Ovis aries: one gene and its partners. The main gene of each other region encodes a partner of the protein of the gene in region 3 in a complex. Links are inferred from orthologs where the notes say so. Each region holds a gene or a part of one and is shown on either strand. Other genes may lie near its edges. The genes, in order: ARPC2, ARPC5 and ARPC3.

Evidence for each region.
Region 1: ARPC3 (region 3) and ARPC2 share a complex: the UniProt entries of both Homo sapiens proteins name them as parts of the arp2/3 complex. The link is inferred for Ovis aries from reciprocal best matches to the Homo sapiens genes ARPC3 and ARPC2.
Region 2: ARPC3 (region 3) and ARPC5 share a complex: the UniProt entries of both Homo sapiens proteins name them as parts of the arp2/3 complex. The link is inferred for Ovis aries from reciprocal best matches to the Homo sapiens genes ARPC3 and ARPC5.

The regions. Positions count from the first base shown.
Region 1 is NC_056055.1:220,288,169-220,294,454, reverse strand, and holds part of ARPC2 (actin-related protein 2/3 complex subunit 2), read right to left. Parts: intron 5,381-6,286; coding exon 5,254-5,380; intron 3,070-5,253; coding exon 2,969-3,069; intron 2,661-2,968; coding exon 2,560-2,660; intron 2-2,559; coding exon 1-1. UniProt on the Homo sapiens protein: Actin-binding component of the Arp2/3 complex, a multiprotein complex that mediates actin polymerization upon stimulation by nucleation-promoting factor (NPF).
Region 2 is NC_056065.1:64,120,719-64,128,652, forward strand, and holds the start of ARPC5 (actin-related protein 2/3 complex subunit 5), read right to left. Parts: upstream 4,332-7,934; 5' UTR 4,245-4,331; coding exon 4,101-4,244; intron 1,805-4,100; coding exon 1,733-1,804; intron 1-1,732. UniProt on the Homo sapiens protein: Component of the Arp2/3 complex, a multiprotein complex that mediates actin polymerization upon stimulation by nucleation-promoting factor (NPF).
Region 3 is NC_056070.1:54,362,344-54,370,462, forward strand, and holds the start of ARPC3 (actin-related protein 2/3 complex subunit 3), read right to left. Parts: upstream 4,780-8,119; 5' UTR 4,688-4,779; coding exon of another isoform or gene 4,682-4,687; intron 2,896-4,681; 5' UTR 2,862-2,895; coding exon 2,844-2,861; intron 2,085-2,843; coding exon 1,985-2,084; intron 1-1,984. UniProt on the Homo sapiens protein: Component of the Arp2/3 complex, a multiprotein complex that mediates actin polymerization upon stimulation by nucleation-promoting factor (NPF).

The DNA of each region.
Region 1 (6,286 bases), on a different chromosome or scaffold from region 3:
CCTTCAAAAGCAGAGATTAAGTCTGAAGGTTAGTTTCTGCTCACCTTCCCATCCACCCCACGCTCTGCACTAGAGATGGGGGTCAATGTTTTTCAAGCAGAGGTATGTGGAACTCCAGGCAAGGGTTACGGTCCAGCTTTCGCAGAAACAACCCATCAGCTTTCTTCCTATTGAATACTTCAGGGTACTAAGTAATAAGCCCATGAGGACAGTAAATATACCAAGTTAGACAGGCAAATCACCTGCCCACAATTTCTGCATGGCCTAGATCTACCTGCATTTTAGATTGGTCTCAACCCTCTTCTGAGTAAAAGAATTTGGGGTCCTCCTAACACAGCTTATGCCTTCTCAGGCTAGCAGAGAGCAGTTCCTTAAATTTTCCCCCATGGGGCCAAAATGTCACAAGCAGCAACCCTCCAAACTTTCCAAGCTTAAGCGTGTTTTGTGTTGTCATATGGTGACTACACTCAGTCACAAAACACTTGCCTCGCTTAAGGCTCCGGAGCCGGGGTGTCCTGTCCTACCCAGCATTCTAAGAATGGCCAACTTTGGGGACGGTTCCCAAAGATGGAGGGTACCTATCTGGCACAGAAGCCTGGAAACCAGAGCGGAGGACTACGGGAACTAAGATTTTCCTCTCTGGAATGTCTTACCCTACCACAGATGAAGCTAAAATATTTTGTTATCCATTCCCCAATAGAAAGCTCAATTCCAGCAGAGCTCTGTGGAGTGCTGATGGCTGGCTTCTGATCACAGAAGGGTTGTAAGAACCCAGAGCAGAAGAAGGGTCCTGGCTTCTCCTGCCTAGCTTTGGGAACTCAATCTGGTTTTCAGGGTTGTTTACCTCCTGCTTCTCCTTTCTGGGGCTCACCTCTGCCAAAGAGAGATCACAGGACGGAAAAAGGCAAAGCTGTTCTTCCTAAGTTCCAGGAAGGAAGTTTATGGACGACTGGCTCATTTCAAGGACTCATCTTTTCTTAGTCCCCCATCAGGACAGGGAGTTGTTCCTGCCCTTCCACTGCACCTGCTTTGCAGTAACCCCACACTCCAAGGCTGCCGGGCTGTGTGACGGAACCAGGGGAGAAGCCCTGTGGGGAGACACTGGGTAGTGGCTGTCTGGTGGGCGCTTCTCCTGAATGGACAGGCAGTTACAGGGCTGAAGGTGACAGGAGAGGTTCGTGACTGTTATGACGCCCAGCCCTTCGTTTGGTGTGCGACAGGCTGGCGGGTCAGGCTGCCTTCTGCTGTACTGGCTGCTGGCTCACCTCCTGGCCTCTACTGAACGGGGCTCTGAAAGTGGCACAAAATTGGCTGCTTCACACTCAGGGTCACCAAAATGGTGTGAGTGAGAGAAGCAAGCAGGGAAAGAAAAGGGAGACTTGTCAACTCCATGATGGAGGTAAGAGTCTGCAGGGCAGCAAGAGCACGTGCCCCCAAGACACACCCTCCTTGCCTCCCTACCTTTCGAGTTCTGCCCATCTTAGGCTGTGCCATAAAGCTGCACAGTAGAAGGAACGATGCTGCCACTGTGTTGCCATGGCACGTGGGCACTTCTCTCTAAGCAGAGGATCCAGCTGTGGACTGAACACTGCTGGCTCTGGGCAGTGGGAAGAGCTATTCTAGAGAAAGGTCTTTGGGATCAATTTCCTAGTGAGACAGGCAGCCTCTCAAGTATAGAAGGCAGGGGTGACTTACACTGCTCTGTATAAATGTCTGATGCTTCTGAGATTATAAGCACTCTGCTCAGGCACCCAAGAGTCAGACCCTCTCTCATCCTGTTAAATGGCAACAAAAACTAGCTTGGTATAAGAGGCCAAGGGAAGGAGCCTGAAGGCATAGGCACAACATACCTATAGAAGGTTATCCCAAGAGTGTGGGGTGCTGGAAATGGCTGTGTGGGTTGTGGGGAGGCTTAGTTCACCTCAAGACATTTAATTCAATGGGAACAAGTGATAGGAGACCAGCACCCATTGCTCTACTTGGAGAACAGGATGGCCTAAACCTTACCAGAGGGGGTTCCAAGATTTGGCACCTGGCACAGAACCAAACCCCCAGGCCCCGGACCATGCTGCTCTACTGAGGACAGTGTCTTGCACCCTTTAGGAACTCCTCATCATCTCTATCTCAGATAAAGCCGACCTCCTCTTTAGGCAAAATTCCTGCCAAGACTTGGACCAGGAAAAAGAATGCTTTGGAATAGTTCCAGGCCTATTTATGCAACTAAATGTCCTCAAGCAGATTATTCCATTTCTACAAGATATCAAGACAGTTAAGATAGGCCTGTCAACTCAGACCCAAAGAGAACATAGTTCATCTTGGCAAAAAGGCCTGTTTCTTTCTAGCAGCCACTATCCTCGATCACAGAGATGTGGAAACAAGGAGGCCCATTCAGATGTGAAAACCTGTTTGTCCCATCTTTAGTCTGCCAGGCAGCTATAGGCGCCCCGCTGCCTGTCTCACCTGCAGCCACTGCCCAGACACCTGGGTCACCGACACCCATGACCTCCTTGGTAAGCCTAGGAGAGGAAGGCAGTCCTGCTGCAGGATGGTGCTACTCACGTGATTGTTTTCATTTCCTTTTTCTCGGCATCTGGGCGTGCACGGTTCAGCACCTTGAGGAAGTCTGATGTTTTTGCCCGCATACGTGTGTGAATATAGGCCTGGAGGCAAACATAATGGGTACTGAAGCAGAGTCATGTTCCAGAAAGACAGCTTTGCTCTAAGTAGCAGAAATTATCAGAAAGGTCTGGGAACATCCACCCTGGGGCTGACATAGGGCTGTGCAAGCAAGCATATATTCACCTCTCTGCTATGGAGTGAGAGAGATGGAGAAAGGCCATGACTCAAAGCCTCTAGAACCATCTCTGTAGAGTTCCTAGCAATAGCCTATACCAGAGAGGACTTTATGCCATGAGCTCTGGTGGAGAGAATGGCGCAGAGCGCCGGTGCCGAGGCTGCTCTCACTCACCTTCGAGCACTTGATGTGGTAGTGCAGGTAGTCCCGGAACGTGTGGATCAGGTTGATGGTGTTGTCTCGAGCACTGGCGTTGGTATGGCGAGGGAACAGCACTGAGTGGGGGCACAGACAAGGTGTCAAGGTCTAATTACACCAATGCCAAAGGGTGGAAAGACCAGCAGCCTACTGTCAGCTCCCATCTTGCCCTGCTTTGGGACCGTCCACTTGTTTCATTAGGGTTTTCTGCCAGTAAGTGTAAATGGAGGAGACCATGGCCAAAAACCAGGGCTCCCTCGGCAAAGGGCTTGGTCCTGGCGTTCATTCCGGGTCTGGATTCTCCGGCCGTGCACTGTGAAATCTACTAGCTTCTGCCTCTCAGAAGTCTCTCTAGAAAACGACACAACTGGCTACCTGGGTGGACTCTGGAGCAATGGGGATTAGAGAACAAAGCCTGCCTGTTGCAGGACCTTGGTGCCGAAGCAGAGTAAGCTTTCAGAGAAACTAGATCCATAGAGGATCATGTAGTCTGTGGTGAACACCAAACAGGAAGGGACAAGAACCTGAGCATTCCTGAGGAGGAATGGCAGGATGAGTTGCTTTGGCTGGGGGCTGAGAAAAGCCCTTGCCACTGCCTGACCCCATGAAGTCCTGTGCAGTCAGTCACTCAGTTTCACACCTGGGCAGACCTGCACGCCTCTCCCTCTGGCTTCTGGGAATCCCCTCTATCTTCTGCATCTATCCTACTCAGTGATCTCGGCATCAGCAAAGTTCTTGAGCATCAGGTTTTGTTGAAACGAAAAGAAATGCCACCTAGGAAAGGGTGGGACCGCTGTGGGTCCACCTGCCCTCAAGAGAAGAGAGCACCAGGCCAGGGGGTAACCGCACTGCAGGGGCTCTGCTGATGACTGTAAGTTCACCATCAGTTTACGTACCACAAAGAGAGACCAAGAGAGACAAGAGGAGAGAGCACCAGGCCAGGGGGTAACCGCACTGCAGGGGCTCTGCGATGCTAATGACTGTAAGTTCACCATCAGTTTACGTACCACAAAGAGAGACCAAGAGAGACAAGAGGAGAGAGCACCAGGCCAGGGGGTAACCGCACTGCAGGGGCTCTGCGATGCTAATGACTGTAAGTTCACCATCAGTTTACGTACCACAAAGAGAGACCAAGAGAGACAAGAGAAGAGAGCACCAGGCCAGGGGGTAACTGCACTGCAGGGGCTCTGAGATGCTAATGACTGTAAGTTCACCATCAGTTTACGTACCACAAAGAGAGACAAGAGAAGAGAGCACCAGGCCAGGGGGGGTAACTGCACTGCAGGGGTTCTGAGATGCTAATGACTGTAAGTTCACCATCAGTTTATGTACCACAAAGAGAGACAAAGAGAAACAAAGAGAGACAAGAGAAGAGAGCACCAGGCCAGGAGGTAACTATACTGCAGAGGTTCTGCTAATGACTGTAAGTTCACCATCAGTTTACGTACCACAAAGAGAGACAAAGAGAAACAAAGAGAGACAAGAGAAAAGAGCACCAGGCCAGGAGGTAACTATACTGCAGGGGTTCTGAGATGCTAATGACTGTAAGTTCACCATCAGTTTATGTACCACAAAGAGAGACATTGCTAATTAAACTGTTAACAGGCTGTCCCAACCTCAGAGAGAGTAACGTGCCAAAAAAAAAAAAAAAAAAAAAAGCATGTAGACTAGACTTAAGGAAACCTGGTTAATCAGCCTGCTTATTTCCGATAAACGGATGCGTCTTCAGCACTATGGTGGCTTGCAGAACTCCAGAAAAGGGGACATCTTAGTGCTGTCAGGGTCAGTGTGTGTGTAAGCTGCGATTCTAAACTGTCAGCTGTTACCAATGAACCAGCTCACTAGGCTGAAGCAAACTGTGAGAGGGGTGGATGTCAATCTTTCCAGAGGGAAAGTGGGTAAGTAAATCACGGCTGGAGCTCTGGTCTAATGAGCAAAAAAACCCAATAGGCGCCAAAGGACAGAGAACCCCAACTAGCTGCTTAGCAGGGCTTATGTGGCCCTAACCCCTCCTACTTCACTCCAGGGGCTATCCTTTTTTTCCCTGAGGATTTAGATAAAACAGGGAAAAAAGGAAAATGATTACTGTATAAAAATACAAACAGCACATGACTTGTATTAGTGCCCCACGACATGCCTCCTACAGTCATGGCACCGGCAACAGGAACACTCTGGCACACCTGCTTTTGCCACTCAGCCCCATTTCAACTGCAGTATGAACCCACCAAGGTGTGCAAATGCAGCAACCCCGCCCAGCTCACCGAAGGTAATGTAGCCGATGTTGTCACCCACGGCGGCATCGGTATCTTTCAGCTCTAGGGGAGGTTCCCTGTGGCTGAAGAGGACCTGTGGGGCTGTGTGGCTGGCTCTGCGTCCTTCTTTGAACTCCTGCCAGGATGAAGCAAAAAGCAACCAGAAGAGAATCTGGTGTGAGATGAACAGCAAGAGCAGCAACCTATGCTCTGGGGTTTGCCCTGTGGATGTGACCTCTGAGCCCTCTGACCGGCAGAGGCTAAAAATAAATGACACCTAATATGAAGTACTGGTCTTCCCTGGTAGCTCAGCTGGTAAAGAATCCACCTGCAATGCAGGAGACCCTGGTTCGATTCCAGGCTCAGGAAGATCCCCTGGAGAACGGATAGGCTACCCACTCCAGTATTCTTGGGCTTCCCTGGTGGCTCAGACGGTAAAGAATCCACCAGCAATGCGGGAGACCTGGGTTCAGTCCCTGGGTTGGGAAGATTCCCCTGGAGGAGGTCATGGCAACCCACTCCAGTATTCTTGCCTGGAGAAGCCCCATGGACAGAGGAGCCCGGTGGGGTACAGTCCATGGGGTCGCAGAGGGTCAGACATGACTGAGCGACTCAGCACAGCACAACGTGAAATATTACCAGTGTTGGCTGCCATCAGTGTACTTCAGATTCAAAGAGGAGAGATCACAAAGTACTTAACAAGTCCGATTTTCAAAGAGCAAAGAAAAGCACTGTTAATCCTCTTCTTTTGTTTTGGAAAAATATGCATGATAAAACTACTTCTAAGGCTAAATAGACAACAAATTGCAAAGCACTCAGAGAACCAGATTACGTTCAGGATAAGGATGACAGTTTATTAGTTTCTTTTGATTTAATATGAAAGGAGGTTATATTTTTCAGGAAATTTGATTAAGATGTCAAGTGGAGCTCAAGTAAGAGCTCACCCTTGACAAAATCTATCCACCCTCAGCAAACTACAGAAAAATGCCTAAGGATGTCAAAACCAAGCCATTCTTCCCCGTCCTAACCTCCACATCTCAAG
Region 2 (7,934 bases), on a different chromosome or scaffold from region 3:
GGGTTTACTTACAGATAGATGTAACAAATTATCAATGTATTAAATCAATACATTTCACTTCTTGATTTAAAAAAAATAGACCAAAAGAAGGAAACTGAATTATAGTTCTACCCTGATGCATCCTTCAGAAATGTTATTAATAAATAAAAATTTAAGTTTCTAAAACTTATTTTTCATTTCACATCTATAGTCAAGTGACTATAGGTATTAGAGTGGTCTTCATTTATAATGATCTTTTTCTTTGATGAATGACTGCTCCAACAGCAGTTGCTTTTCACCTAGCAAGCCAAGTACACAGAACACTTAATTTCCCCTTTCAACAATGTTTCTCTTTCTATTCAACACAAAGTGATACCTTCTGCATTCCTGCCGGTCATGATCTTACAGTATGCTTCTACCACCTTTTGCTGTCTTCAGTTTAAAGACTATGCAATTATCCGTTTAGAAAAATATCCTTGTATGGAGAGCTATAACCTCCCACCCACACGCTCTGATTAAAAAAAAACACCCACAAAAAAGCAGAAGGTGGTAAAACGAAATTTCAATGACGTTACTCACTTTTAAAAACCAAAGAAGCATTTCCTCTTATAAAAGATTATGTTGCCTAGATAATAATGCATTTACCTAAGTTATTATTTACTAGTATTTAACTAAGGAGATACTTGGGGCTCCTAGGATGTGTGAATGGCTATGGACAGTGGGGGGATCAATGCTCTGGGTGTGGGATTATGGACGATTACATTTTTATTCCCCCATATTGCTGAGTTTTCTACAATACTTAACAGAACTAAACATTAAAATTTAATCTGAAAAAAAAAAGAAAAAAAATTTAATCTGGGCTTTAAACAATTAAGTAAATAGGTTCTTAAGAATTACTGAAAGATGGTTAAGAGGCAATGTAATTTTACAACTTTTCTGAAGGGTAGTATGGCAATACCATATGTAGCCTTAAAAAAATGTGCAGTCTAAAATCCAGCCATTCACTTCCAGAAATTTATTCAAAGGAAACAATTCAGACTTTACCAAGAATTGTTCATTTCAATACTATTTATGACAGGAAAAAAGTCAATAAATATATGATGAAAGTTTATATATAACTAAACTGCAGGATTATCAAAATACAGATGTTAAAAAAGATATTATAGAAATAAACTTATTACCAAGTAAAGCTGTTCATGTATGCTGCTATACAGATGAAAAGCAGTTTATCTATTTTAATGAAAAGAAAAACTCATAGAAAAACTCTATAAGCATACAGCAACAACAAAAAGTAATGATTATCTACAGGTATGGAATTATAATTATTTTCATTCCCCCACATTTCTGAGTTTTCAATAATATTTAACAGAATTAAATATTAGAATTTAATTCTATGAGAATGGTAGAATTTTAAAAAATCTTTCAAAAGCAAGTAGCATGTGTTTATTTTGTGAAAGTTTCACTTGTTCTTCAAGCCTTTGCTCAAATTCGACCTGAGTGGCCTCCTCTGAAAACACACAGATGTCTCGGTCATTAGAACTTAAGTCTACCTACCACGCAGCGTTATCACAACTCAATTTTGGAGCACTAATTTTTTATATAGGTTTTCCACCTATCAAACTACATTGTAAGCTCTTCTATGTCAAAGACGGCAAACAGTTAAGACATTTGCTGACACTTTGTGAGACACTTTGGAGGGTTCTGGTAAGAAGGCTGAGACGCCAGCACAGATCGTGTGTTGTCTGTGACTCACCTTCACTGCCTGACTCTTGGTGTTGATGGGGGGGTTTTTCAGAGCTGCCTGTAGGGCAGCTGTCATGTTTCCTGTGATGGAGGTTAAGGGGATAGCAGCAAAGGGCAGCCCTCAGGAAAGCACTGGAACTCCCAGGAACCACTGGTTCTTGAGATTTGGTGTTATGCATAGAAAGAAAAATTACTATGGTTGCTACGTTCAATACTGGAAAATTCAACATGTTCGTTTCAAGGATGTCAATCAAAGATAAAATACTGAAAATGAAAGAGAGCATTAAATTTTTAAAAAATAAGGCAAAAACTGTTTTACCCTTGGCTCTAATTATTAACTGAGCACCTTAATAACCTTTCATTTTCCAGTAAAACACATGTGCAAACATTATCCAGAGTGACATTTAAAAAATTCTAAAATATATATCAGAATTATTTAGGTCCCCAAATGAAACAGACTGTCTGCCTATCCTTTGATTAGAATTATATTCTATATTAATTGAAATGCTGGTAGAAAAGTGCTGGCAGATTACTCTAGCAATCTGAATGATATACATTAGCAATCTCTCAATATTGATGTTAAGAGGCATTACAGAAGATAAAATAATGACCTGTAGGTGGCAGCTTAATTTTTCTGTTTTTTAATATTTTCTCTCATATTTCATAAAGGTCATTCAAACTGCTTTAGGCCACACCTATTAAATTTAGTCTTCCTTTGAAAGCACCAGTGAGTTAGCAAGAATGAGGAACAGAAGGCCAATCACACTGTCAGAATGTACAGTCATTGCCCTAAAAGGAAAACCTCACAGAGTTCACTTGTTCCTCCATCTGTAGTGCCTGATCAGGGCTTGTCTCTTCTTGTTGAGACAAGAAGGGACAGTATCTTTATATTTCAAGATGAATTGATTTATTTTATTTATTTATTTTTTTAAGATGAATTGATTTAAAAGCAGATCCACTATAGGGATACAGCAGTACCATTGAAGAGTCATCACGTCACCTAAAAAAAGTTAGTCTCACAAAACATCATTTATGCATCACGAAGAATGTTTCTACACAGAATAATCTTCACCACTTATGTTCTAAAGAAAAAGGTCTGACTAAAAAAACTATGGTTGGTGGCAGGCTGTTATTTTCAAGGCTTAATGGACTTCTAGAGAAGCGTCCCGTTTGCAGACTGGCTCACTTATGAGACTGCTCCCCTCCACCCCAAACACTTAAGTATGTTAAATAATGCAAAACAGCAACAGCTGATTGTGAAAGTAACGGAAATCAAAGAAACATCTGTATGTTGATAAATGTTTAATGCTGTATTTTAGGTGCCTGTAAGACCAGCTGTGGCTGCTACCAAATATTTTCACTCATGTATTTCCCCATTTAATTTAATAGGCCACTGATGAGGAAAGTCTAAAGAGCCTTCCTAATCTTATGAATACACCCAAGAATAATTAGAAATGAGTGAATTCAGTAATTGACAATCTCTAAAACGACAGCCTGGGTTATTGCAACATTTACATTTTTTCCGAAAAAAGAGCTCATGCAAATACTCCCTCAAAGTTATGAATATTCAAATATGCAAAACCCAAACCAGGAACTGACAGCCACATTTTAACTTAACGGAAACGATTCCATCATTACAAAATGATTCGGTTTTGTACAAATGATTCACTTTTTCCTATGTTATTCTTTGGCGTTTATTTAAAATATTTCCAGGGATTCTCTACATGCATTTTCCGTCTAGCAGGTAAAACGCTTCCAGCTTCTTTCTGAGCAGTTTTGTACTCATTCCCTTTCCCCTGGTTAACCAACTCTGTGCAACCTGTATTTTGTCAAATCCCTTCCTCTTAAAAAAAAAAAAAAAAAGGCGTCCACAAGCTTAAAAAGACAGACAGAAGGGCCTCAATTCTGCAAGCCGCCCCATGTCTCCCGGCGTGAAATAACGCTGCCACAACAAAACCACCACCACAATAAAAAGAAAATCACTGAAGAAAAATGCCCGCTCCTCCCGATCGGACGTGGGTTCTAATGAAAACCCGATAAATACGATCTGAGAGGACCACTTAAGCTCCCTGCAGCTCCCCGACTGACCAGCACCAGAGCCGCGAGGGCGCGGCCGTCCCCGCCGGTCCCCGGGAGGCGAGAACTCCCGGCGCAACCTGAGGAATCGGGGGCGTGGACAGCGCGCTGGCAAGGTAAGTTTCCGAGGGCGGGACCCGGGGGTCTCGGGAGAAATAGAAGAGCCCTCCTGCCCACTCACGACAGGGAGCCCACGGAAGCGGGGGTCCCTGCCCTCACGCCCTGCCCGCAGCTGGGTCCCGGAAGAGGGGCCGGGTCGGGTGGGGTCGGGTGGGGCGCGAAGGCCAGCGAACTGAAGGATATTGCCGCAGGCAGGAGTCCACCTCGCCCTCGTCGGGCCCGGCCTGCCCGTCGCCCCCGTCTTCCTCATCCACGAACTTGTTCTCGTCGTACTCATCCACGTCCACCTTCCGGAACCGGGCCGACGACACCGTGTTCTTCGACATCCCCGCTCCGGACCGGCGGCCGAGGCCTCCTCTAGACGCTGCCTCGACCTTAGCAAGCCCAGCCCCAGCTGGAAGCCGCAGACTGGCGCCTCCACTTCCCTCTTCCGCTCAGAGGCGTAGCCGGCAGCCGCGTCTCGGGTGGTTCTGGGCCTGCGCGCTGGCCGCGCTCCTTCCTTCTCAGGCTCGCGCCTTCCTCGACCCTCCTACGCCGCCCCCACGCGCCCCACAGCCGGGCGCGCCGGGGCGGAAGCGCGCTGGATGCAGCGCGCATGTGCGGACTCTCTGCGGGAAAGGGGAGGAGCGGGGCGACAGAGGCGGGGGCGGGAGGGGGCGGGGCAGGAGGGAGGGCCCAAAGCGGTGCCGCCTGTAGAGGTAAGAGGCGATTGGGCCTCCGGGTCCGTCACGTGATCCCTAGGGGGTTTCCATAGAAACGCTTCTCTGCGGTCCAGTCTCGGGGGGGGGGGGGGGGTGGTCTTAGGTTGGCGGCGATGGGCGCTGGGGGCAGGTGGCCTTGGCTTTGCTGCCGCCGCCGCCGTCAACAGCCTGTCATCGGGGTCCCGCTTAAGGTCCGGCTGGCACGGACTTACCCGTGAGCTGGGATGGATTGGTTGCCGGACCAAGTCTCCTGCAGTTGGCAGGAGTATGGGGCGGAGTGATGCACGCCCAGTCGCTCAGCATCGTTCGAGTTGTCAGAGACCTCGCTTCGGACCGTCTACTCCCCGTGGCTTCGTTCCCGAGCCGGGAAGCCCCTTTCTCGGCTGTGGAACTACGCTGCGCGGCCAGCTTGAGGTCCCCAAGGACGGAGTCGAAAGGTCACATCTTATCTGTCAGTGCTGTGTAATGGCAAGCGACTGCACCTGCAGAACTCGAACCTAGGTATCATAAACTGGGGAGAAGCGGGAGGTGTCTGGGCAGGGGCTTAGGGTCCGGTGGCAGGACTGGGATGAACCTGTGGAATTTGGGGTAGGGTCAGCCATTGACATCTTAAAATAAGTGGTTATTTGGAGTAAGAATGCTAGAAAAGGGTAGGGGCGAGTTACACTCTGGCTCTGAGGCGAAACAAAATGTGTGAGGATTAGTTGAAACCAGATCTTTAAGATTTATTTTTATCGCTTAAGATTTATATGATCCTCCTAGGCCAGCGTCTTATTGTATTTGACACCCCCGTTTCTGCGAGCAAAGCTCTCCCTGAGCAGGTAAGAGCACTAAAGCACTAAATTTGAGGAAATGGTAGTTGGGTGCTATGTCTAACACTGAAGCACAAATATTTGCAAAGTGAAATTAATTTGGATATTTATCAGGTTTAGTTTAATTCCACCTTTACCGGAGGGCTGGCTGCTGCCCTGTTAAATGCCTCAATCCTTGGTTTTCTGTACTGTAATTGAAAATAGCACTTGGCTTATAATCAGAAAACCTTGGCTTGAGTCTTGATTCTTCCTTCCACTCATAACCTATTGATTGAGGCAGGCCACTTAAAATTCTGAATGTCAAGTTCCTCATTGCTAAAATGGGGCTAATAATGTGTACTTAACAATAGTGTTCTGAGGGTTAAACACAAGAAATTGTTTGAAACTCTAAAAGTCTGCCTCAATGCAAATTGCATGTTATCTGTACCATTGATTTTGGCACTAGTCTTATAAATTGTTTAATGATATATTGTGTGATATATTGCCCCTGGAAGAGAGAGAAAAATTCTGGAGGGCAGAGACTGTCTTATTTCTTTTCTTTTCTTTTTGAACTGAAGTACAGTTGATTTACAGTGTTGTGTTAGTTTCTGGTGTACAGCAAAGTGATTCAGTTGCGCATACATATTGCATCTTCCTTTACGTCTCACATAAAACTGAGCATGCAGAGGGTACTCAGTACATTCAGACACTCAATTATTCATTGATGAATGAATAAATGTGAAAGGCAGTACAGTTTGAGCGTCACACAGAATAATGAATTAGAAGAGGAAGACATCTCAAAGTCAAACCTTTGTTGGACATATATACATATGTGTATATATAGCTGTATCTATATCAATTTGTATCTATATACATATGTATGTAGAGATAGATAGGTAGACAGTTAGATGGTAGGTAGATACTTCCAGAATGAAATGCACCCCTTTTTCTTGGGAGGAAGAAGCAACATGGCATTTTCTTTTCCCAGTTAAAGTACCCTCAATAAGATTATCATTAAGTGATAGAAGTGACATTTATTTAAATCACCACTCAAGTTATGAGCCAATACACTGCTGAAAACTCCCTCAAAGGCTGTCTTAAGACAGCCAAGGAAAATTTTCTACCTGTTGGCAATATATATTTTAAAAAGTCTTATACCAAAGTATCAGATCATTACTATGGTGAATGGCATTACATAACCTAGAATAAAGATTTTTTAAATGTTTTTTTCTGAGTTTCAATCTTTGGTGACTTTAGTAAGAACTGAATAATATGTTTGTTTAAATGCTAAAGATGGTTGTACTTTTTGTTTTTGTAAGTCACGATTTTCTCTGAAGAGAAAATTGAACATTAGAAGCACATTTGAGAGCAAATGGAAACAAGAATTCAAGAACTAATACATCCCTTCTCTTCCATTTCTATTCTAAATAAGTAGGGCTTATTTAAGAAATTTCTTTATTCTTTTTTTTTTTTTAGAACTGGGAAAGAATACCAGAGTGGAAATCAACTTAAGGGAATAATGAGGGGAATTTTAAAACTCAAGTTGTTCAAGGGTATAATTGTTTTGAATTATGCTGGGTGTGTTAAATGTGTTAAATATAATTAATTAGTTCTCAGTCACATAATGCATATTACATTTCAGATATAATTATGTTTAAAATGTCCTTTTCCAGTGCATATTTTTTGTCTCACAATAATAAATACCTAGTCCACAGTGGGTGCTCAACGCCTTTCTAGCCAATGAATTAATCTGACAAGTTAATTTTGGAATCATATTTAGAGGTTGAGGTTTTTAATTATCTTCCCATCTTCATTAGCTAATAGTCAACTCTATATAAAGCTTTAGAGAAATTTCTTTGTGTGTATATGAGTGTATGTGAAGAAACCAGTCCTTCATAATCTTTTAATTGGAAAATATATTCTTCTTTCTTGCAAATTCCAAATTTTTATTATTGATTGTGGCACTTAATTTATTTTAAGTAATATTATTTTTCCTACTTTAACTTTCCAAGTGAGTGCTTATTCCTGAAATAAAGGATCCATATGGTTTTAAGACATTTTATTTATTGTGCACATAGCCTGGTTTGGTTCAGTGCTAAAGTAATACTGAATCTGAATCTGAATGTCCCCAAGATTAATGCTGCAATGGTAGTATATACCTCTTTCTGATTTTCTGTGACGAAGGATGTTTTTAGTTTAGTTCAGTTCAGTTCAGTCGCTCAGTCGTGTCCGACTCTTTGCGACCCCATGAATTGCAGCACGCCAGGCCTCCCTGTCCATTACCAACTCCCAGAGTTCACTCAAACTCATGCCCATCGAGTCAGTGATGCATTCCAGCTATCTCATCCTCTGTCGTCCCCTTTTCCTCCTGCCCCCAATCCCTCCCAGCATCAGAGTCTTTTCCAATGAGTCAGCTCTTCGCATGAGGTGGCCAAAGTACTGGAGTTTCAGCTTTAGCATCATTCCTTCCAAAGAACACCCAGGACTGATCTTTAGAATGGACTGGTTGGATCTCCTTGCAGTT
Region 3 (8,119 bases):
AAAGAATGCCATACAATTTTATTTGAACTTACATACTATAGCTTTAGGGGAAAAAACTCTCAGCTGTTCACTTAGGAATGTACTGGGATTCACACATACATCTTTCTTTTTATAAAAACTGACTTCAAATATGTACAATCTGCTCAAGGTGGCTAGAGACTGAGAAAAACCAGAAGTACTATTGCAACAAAGACAGATCTCATTACAAAATTTCTGTGGCTTTTTTTGGGTTTTCCTTTTTTTTATTTTAAAAAGGTCACAATCCCAGGGTCTTGATATCCGGCAGCTGGTTTTAGCAATGTAGAAACGGTTATTTTCATTTCGCAACGCTGACTGCTATCCCTCTCACACAGCAGAAATGCAGAAGCTTTTGTACTCTAATCCAGTTGTCTTTATCTTTGCCCATTCCCCTGCTGGAGAATTTTAACAGAACTCTTTTTTTTTACCCTCCTTTAAAAAAATTTTTTTGGACATGTGGGATCTTAGTTCCCTAACCAAGGGTCGAACCCACACCCCCTGCAGTCTTAACCACTGGACCACCACAGAAGTCCCCCAAAGAATTCTAACTCTAGACTTCTGTTCCCTGTGATCTAGTCTCTTATTTGCTAAAAAAGAAACTTCCTTCTATGATCCCACAGTACTTACAAAAAACAAGCTAGCTCTAGTGTCATGTTGCAGAGGAAGGGAAAGAGGCCAGCTGATAGGACTCAGGCTAGTTGATAGGATTCAGAACATAGAAGAGCATTTGGCATATATAAGGTGTTCAAAAGATATCTGTTGAATGTAAATAACTAGATTAATGCTAACAGTTACTTAGTCCATAGCACAGGCTTGTATTTCTCCATAATTCCAATTCAGTCCTATTCCAGCCCCCTAGGGAAGAGTAACAGGCTACTCTTAACTACAGAAATCATGAAGTTCCAGTTTCCTGCAGTCCCATTCTCTCTCAAGGGCCCAAGAATTGCAAAGGTGGTAATTAAAGTCACTTCACTGGTCAATTAAATCTTCTGATATACTATATGGTATTTTGGCACAATCTGGGAAGTAATCTGGTCAAACACTGATCCTTATTCTTCCTCTGCAAAAGAATAATGTCATTCTTTTACATTATTTTTCCTGTTTTTGGTGGCTTTTTTTTCCATCTCAGAACAAGATTGTGGTGACTCACCAAATTTATTAAGTTTACTGAGCTTTAACTGGTATTGAAAACAAAACTAAATTAAGAGGAAGTCAAGTCAAATAAACTGGCCAGAAGAATGGAGACAGGGTCAGTACAAAATTAGTTATCTAAACTATGGTCTTGGAAACCACAAATGGAACTCAGTGCAGACCCTTCCTGGCTGCAGGGAAACCATGTCTAATATAACACAAATTACACTGTTGGCAGAACATCTCAGAATGTCGTCAGAAGAGTCTCAGATAGTATCTGAAAAGAATGAGGCACTCTGAACAGAGGGAAAAAAAAAAAGCTCCAAAAAACAAGTGAGTGCCAAGAAAGAAAGCAAAAGATACAAAATTCAGAAAAGCAAGAGAAGAAATGAATAATGTTATACAGGACACTTAAGACTGAGGTATTGGTAAAAACTGGGGTCCTGAAGAATGGACAAAGGAAGCAGATTTAGATAAAGAAAGAGGTTAAAATACGCTTTGTTTTTTCCAGCTTGATGACACAGAAAGGATGGGGACACGATGTTTTATAGAGGCAGCAGCATTAGATTAGTAAGAACTGACAGTGATGATAGGAAGAGTGTTGAGAATTAAGCACATTTCCTCTTCTCTCTCAACAAAATATCCCAGAGAAACTAGCAGCAATAATACAGTTTCCTATTAAATGCAACATCTACCCAAGATCTGAGAAGGTGGAAAGCACAATATCCATCAAGCAAATAGAAAATACAAGAGCAATCTGAGATTTCCCTGATGTGCTAACATCAGAGGGTTTCATACCAAAATGTGAAAATAATGGAAAGGGGTTTTGACTTACTTTCTCTAGGGGCAGGTCCTTTGAACTGACTTCTGATAGGCAATAGTGCCATGTTTCCAATGAGTTTGGTGTCAGGGTCCATGAGGGAAGAGTGGTAAGCCTGTAAGGACAAGCCAGGTAAGAACACAGAAGCAGAAAGAGAGCAAATGTCACTGGGGCAAACAAGTACACTTCCCCAAGGAAAAAAATAATTCATCCAAGATAAACTGGCTCATGAAAACTATCAAAGTTTCAGGAATTCTGAGAAAATTTGAGGCAAGCTAATTGTTGAACACAGCCATTATTAAAAATAAAGTTATAGAAATTTTCAATTAAATAAATTATATTAAAAACAAAGGTAATAAATATTTGACACTTTCATTATTTCCTATTTTAAAATTATTTTACCAATGTCTGTGATCTTAAGGTTAGTTATGCCTTTTGCACCTACGGTGGAAACACTGTATGATAAGGTGCTACTGTGCTTTCCTTCCAATTTCACATCTGGTGACAGAACATTGGTAACTGGTGAGGTATTCACACTATAGAAATAGGCAAACACTATATAAATCAGAGGTACCCAGCAACCCAGCTGGTGTTAAAACCACAATCAAAGAACTGGCTCTTCAGCTCTGCCACTTTCTGGCTTTATGCCTTAAGACATCACTTTTCTTCTCTTAGCCTATTTCTACATTTGTAAAATAAAAACATATATACTTGTTTTAAGTGGGTGGATGTGAGTTAGCGGAGAGAGGAAAAAAATCACATTTATGAGAACAATTTATAGGCCAATTTCTAGTTCGGCATTTTACAAGATGTCTGGCTTTTTGTAAGACAACATGGGCCCCAGTCATTTATTCATCAAAAGATTACTAAGTACCTTCTGTGTGCAAGGCATGTGGAGATATTGGCATGCAAGACCAGCCCTGGCTCTGTCAGGTGAATAGAGGAGACAGAAAATAAGTAAGTCATCACAGGGGAGGTCAAGGGTGCTCTTTGTGCACCTGGAATGATGAGTACAAGGCATTAGGGTTCTGGCTTAAAATCTGGCTTTATCAAGATTTACTAGCGTGCTTATGTATTTAAGGGCTTCCCTGGTGGATCAAATGGTAAAGAATCTGCCTGCAATGCAGGAGACCTGGGTTCAGTCCCTGGGTTGGGAAGATCCTCTGGAGGAGGAAATGGCAACCCATTCCAGTATTCTTGCCTAGAGGAGGAGCCCAGGATTCTTGCCTAGGACAGAGGAGCCTAGTAGGACCCATGGGATCCCAAAGAGTCAGACTCAATCGAGTGACTAACTTTAACTTATGCGAAAATGGATTTAAAATGGATAACCAACAACGACCTACTGTACAGCACATGGAACTCTGCCCATTGTAATGTGGCAGCCTGGATGGGAGGGGAGTGTGGGGAAGAACAGATACATGTATATATATGGCTGAGTCCCTTTGCTGTTAACCTTAAACTATCACAACATTGTTAAATCTACTACACCCCAATACAAACACACAACACACACACACATACTGGTGTGTTACACACTAGTGTGCAACTTTGGGCAAGTTACTTAACTTCTCTGAGCCTCAACTTTCTCCTCTGCAAAATGAAAAACCACTAACATATCCACTTCATAATCACTCTGAGGATTAATTAGGGAATAATTTATACAAACTGTGTAGCTCAGAGTTGGCCTGACATGCATCAGGAGTCAAATGGTAGCTATGGGATTCACCAAACCTTAACTATGGTTTACTCCTTTTTATTACCGATGTGCTTCACCTAACGCAGCCCCTTGTCTCACCTGCACTAGCTATGCTGTCTTATTACCTTCATGGCATTTGCCACTATCTTAAACAATCCCCCCATTTTATTCACATTCACAGATTATGTCTCCTCATTAGAATGTAGACTCCTTAAGAATAGGGACTTGTTGGCCTTATTCACCGCTGTAATAGTGCTTTGGCATGCAGCAGATGCTAAACATCACATGTTACTGAACATGCTTTTTCCTCATCTGCAAAATGGAGACCATGATGGTGATAAATCTACCCGTGACTGTCAGAAATTAAGAACAACCAAACCACCATCAATTTTAACTCCTACTCTGATGCACATTAAACAAACATGTGGAAACTAGGCGCGGACCTTGCACCTGCTCTGAGAGCCCTAAACCCAGCGGCTCAGGGGTGGCAGCCACTGCCGGGGCGACAGGGGAGGAGGAGTCAGGGAAGTGGGGTCGGACAGGCGACAGGCAGCATAAGGGACCCGCCTCCAGAGGCAAAGGAGGAAGTGGGCCTACAGGGAAAAAAAAAAGAAGCCGGGCCCTAGCTGTGATATGAGAAATTAAAAGGGCAGCCCTTGCCTTCACGGCTCTAGTGAGGCTTTGGGAACCCCGCTGGAATCGGGGGGACGGGCAGAGGCGCAAAAAGCGATAAAAAGGATCAAGCTTGGAGAGGAGGGGGCAGACCTGTGGCAGTCTCCTCAGCACGCCCCGGGTCTCTGGCCCACTCTGCCATGCCCTGTTCCTCCACGGCCGGCCGACATCCCCGGGCCGCCCTAATCCCACAGAGGCCGGTCCCTCTCCTCTGGCCTTTCCCCTTCTCAGGCCCCTGCTTTCTCTCTGCCCTCCTCGGCCTACTTTTCTCACCGCACGCAAGACTTCTCGCGACTCTCTCAAATCCCCGCCGTCTCCCGACACCCCCACTTTGGCCCACTTACCGGCATTTTGGAGGCGCCCCGGTTTCAAACCCAACGAAGAGAATCTGGGTAGAGATCGGCGGTTCCGGTCTGGCAGCCCGGGCGGGGTAGGCGGAAGTGAGCCGGAAGGGGAGGGCGAGGGCAGGACGCCGCGCTTCCGGCCTCGCAGTATGTGGCTAGCCGCTGCAGCTGCGCGGATCCGACAGGGCACCAGGGGGCGCTCGAACCCTAGGCAGGGGCTCTGAGTATCGCGCCTGCGTGAAGTGTGGGCGAGAATGAGGTGGATTTCGGGGTTACAGAATCCTAGATATATCACCTCTTTCGTTTTTTCTCCAAGACCACCTTTTCAGTAGCATTCCCTGGGTCATCCTAAATTCAGTCCCACTTCACTGCCCTTTCCCTCAGTTCTTATGATTCATGTTTTACTTTTGGGTTTTGTCTCTGTCCATTCGTATGAACGTCAAAAATGCAAGGACTGTCTGTTTTGTTCACTGCTTATATCCCTACACCTGTAACAGGACGGTACAAGGTAAGCATCAATAACATGTGTTGAGTAAGAGAAGGAACTCAGTCCACTGATTTTAAAAAGGAAAAAATGATCACAGAAGGGATTTGTGTACTACTCTTGTGTGATTACGTACTGCGATTCTTTGTGTAATGGTTGAGAAAAAATTGGTTTGAATCCAGCTCCAACATTTATTGGCTGTGTCACCTTGGCAAGTTAACCTCCATACCTCAGTTTCCTCATCTGAAAATGGAGATAACAGTGATTACCTGAGTTTTGTGAGGAAATGAATTGCATGGAATGTGCTTAGAACTTACATGCCTGGAACATACTAAAAGCTAAGGAATTCTTAATCTTTACCGGAAAGCACCTCAGGTTAAAAGCCAAGTTCACTGCTGCTTCTGGCCATTTCTTTTGCCAGTCCCACAGAAGGAATTACTTTGTCCCATGTTCCCACAATTGATTTCTCATTTATATTTCTGGCCAAATTTTACCTTTTAGGAGGAGACTTCCTTGGTGGTCTCAGATGGTAAAGATAGTCTTCCCTGATCGAGCTGATCTACTGGGCCCTTAAGACTAATTATACACAAGGAAACCTCTAATGAGGGTGACTGTGGGGCTACTTTGCTCCCATCAAAAAAGCCTCCTCTTGTGTGTTAGTCACTCAGTCGTGTCCAACTCTTTGTGACTCCATAGACTGTAGCCCACCAGGCTCTGCTGTCCATGGAATTCTCCAGGCCAAGAATACTGGAGTGGGTTGCCATGCCCTTCTCCAGGGGTTCTTCCCTGGAGAACCCTGAACCCAGATCTCCTGAATTGCAGGCAGATTCTTTACCATCTGAGCACACACCAAACTCTCCATAAGGCTAAATGAGGGAGGTATAGCTCAAGCAGGATGAGGAGGGCAAATGAAAAGGTGTCTTATTTTTCTGACTCTCTCACATGACAGTAACATTAGATCAGGGTGTTTTTGCCCTTTGCATACTCGAGGGCCACAGAAAAAAGAAAAAGCAAGAGATTTCCAAAAAAACATCTACTTCTGCTTTACTGACTACGCCAAAGCCTTTGACTGTGTGAATCACAACAAACTGTGGAAAATTCTTAAAGAGATGGGAACACCAGACCACCTGACCTGCCTCCTGAGAAATCTGTATGCAGATTAGCATAACTGTAAGCAACAGTTAGAACTGGACATGAAACGACAGACTGGTTCCAAATAGGGAAAGGAGTATGTCAAGGCTGCTTATTTATTGTCACTCTGTTATGTATATGCAGAGTACACCATGAGAAACGCTGGGCTGGATGAAGTACACGCTGGAATCAAGATTGCAGGGAGAAATATCAATAACCTGAGATATGCAGATGACACCACCCTTATGGCAGAAAGCAAAGAACTAAAGAACCTCTTGATGAAAGTGAAAGAGGAGAGTGAAAAAGTTGGCTTAAAGCTCAACATTCAGAAAACTAAGATCATGGCATCTGGTCCCATCACTTCATGGCAAATAGATGGGGAAACAGTGGCAACAGTGACAGACTTTATTTTTTGGGTTCCAAAATCACTGAAGATGGTGACTGCAGCCATGAAATTAAAAGATGCTTGCTCCTTGGAAGAAAAGTTATGATCAACCTAGACAGCGTATTAAAAAGCAGAGACATTACTTTGCCAACAAATGGCCATCTAGTCAAGGCTATGGTTTTTCCAGTGGTCATGTATGGATGTGAGAGTTGGACCATAAAGAAAGCTGAGCACTGAAGAATTGATGCTTTTGAACTGTGGTGTTGGAGAAGACTCTTGAGAGTCTCTTGGACTGCAAGGAGATCCAACCAGTCCATCCTAAAGGACATCAGTCCTGAGTGTTCACTGGAAGGACTGATGCTGAAGCTGAAATTCCAATACTTTGGCCACCTGATGTGAAGAGCTGGAAAAGACCCTGATGGTGGGAGACTGAAGGCAGGAGGAGCAGAGGATGACAGAGGATGAGATGGTTGGATGGCATCACCGACTCAGGGGACATGAGTTTGAGTAAACTCCAGGAGGCCTGGTGTGCTGCAGTCCATGGGGGTGCAAAGAGTCGGACACGACTGAGTGACTGAACTGAACTAGGACTTAGAAGAATTCCCTAAGAAGCCCAGTCTGTCCTCATGTTGTCTACTACTGATGTTCTCCTAAGTGCCCCTGTGAGAATTAGCTCACACCAGCAGATTATGGTGCCAATACCCAACTCTCGCCCCCAGCTTGGGCCCCCAGGCACATTGCTATCAGTTACCCCTGATACCTATGGCTCCTCACACTTTACATCTTTAATGAAAATGGATCAAGTTTGACACTGTAGGCGTACTTCTGCTATCCAGGCCCAAGAATGATTAAAAACTTAACTTGAGTTGCAGGTTTTCTACAGGGACTTGATCTGCATCAGTAGGAAGATCCAACACCAATGGAACCTAGACCTGCTGTGAGGATTAAATGAAAGAGATTCTGCTTTCCATTAGCAGTGTCTGGGTTATTAGCGGGTGCTGGAGAAGTATCTGTTGACTGATTAGCCATTCCCCAGTACCTATCACAAATGAACTTAGAAATACTGAAAATAAACAACTCAATGTGGCAAGTAGGTAAAAAGAAAAAATTATGTCTTTTGCATTTTTGTGTGCATTTGTTATTAAAGCAAAGTATACATTTTAAAAGTGCTCAGAGACTATAAACCACATTTTAAAAAACAAAGTCACTGCCTACATTTTGACACTTGCGAAAATTTACTCATTCAAAAATTTGCCTTAGTTGAGTATTTCAAATTCTGATTGGACAACAGGCGTGTGATGAAAAGTTAGTGCTATTTTTCTTTTATTTATATATATCTTAAGACATAGTTACTTTTTTCATTTTTTAATTACACAAATAATACATTTTCAGTGTAGGAAAACTAGAAGCTACTAATAAACAATGGTCTTATCTCTAT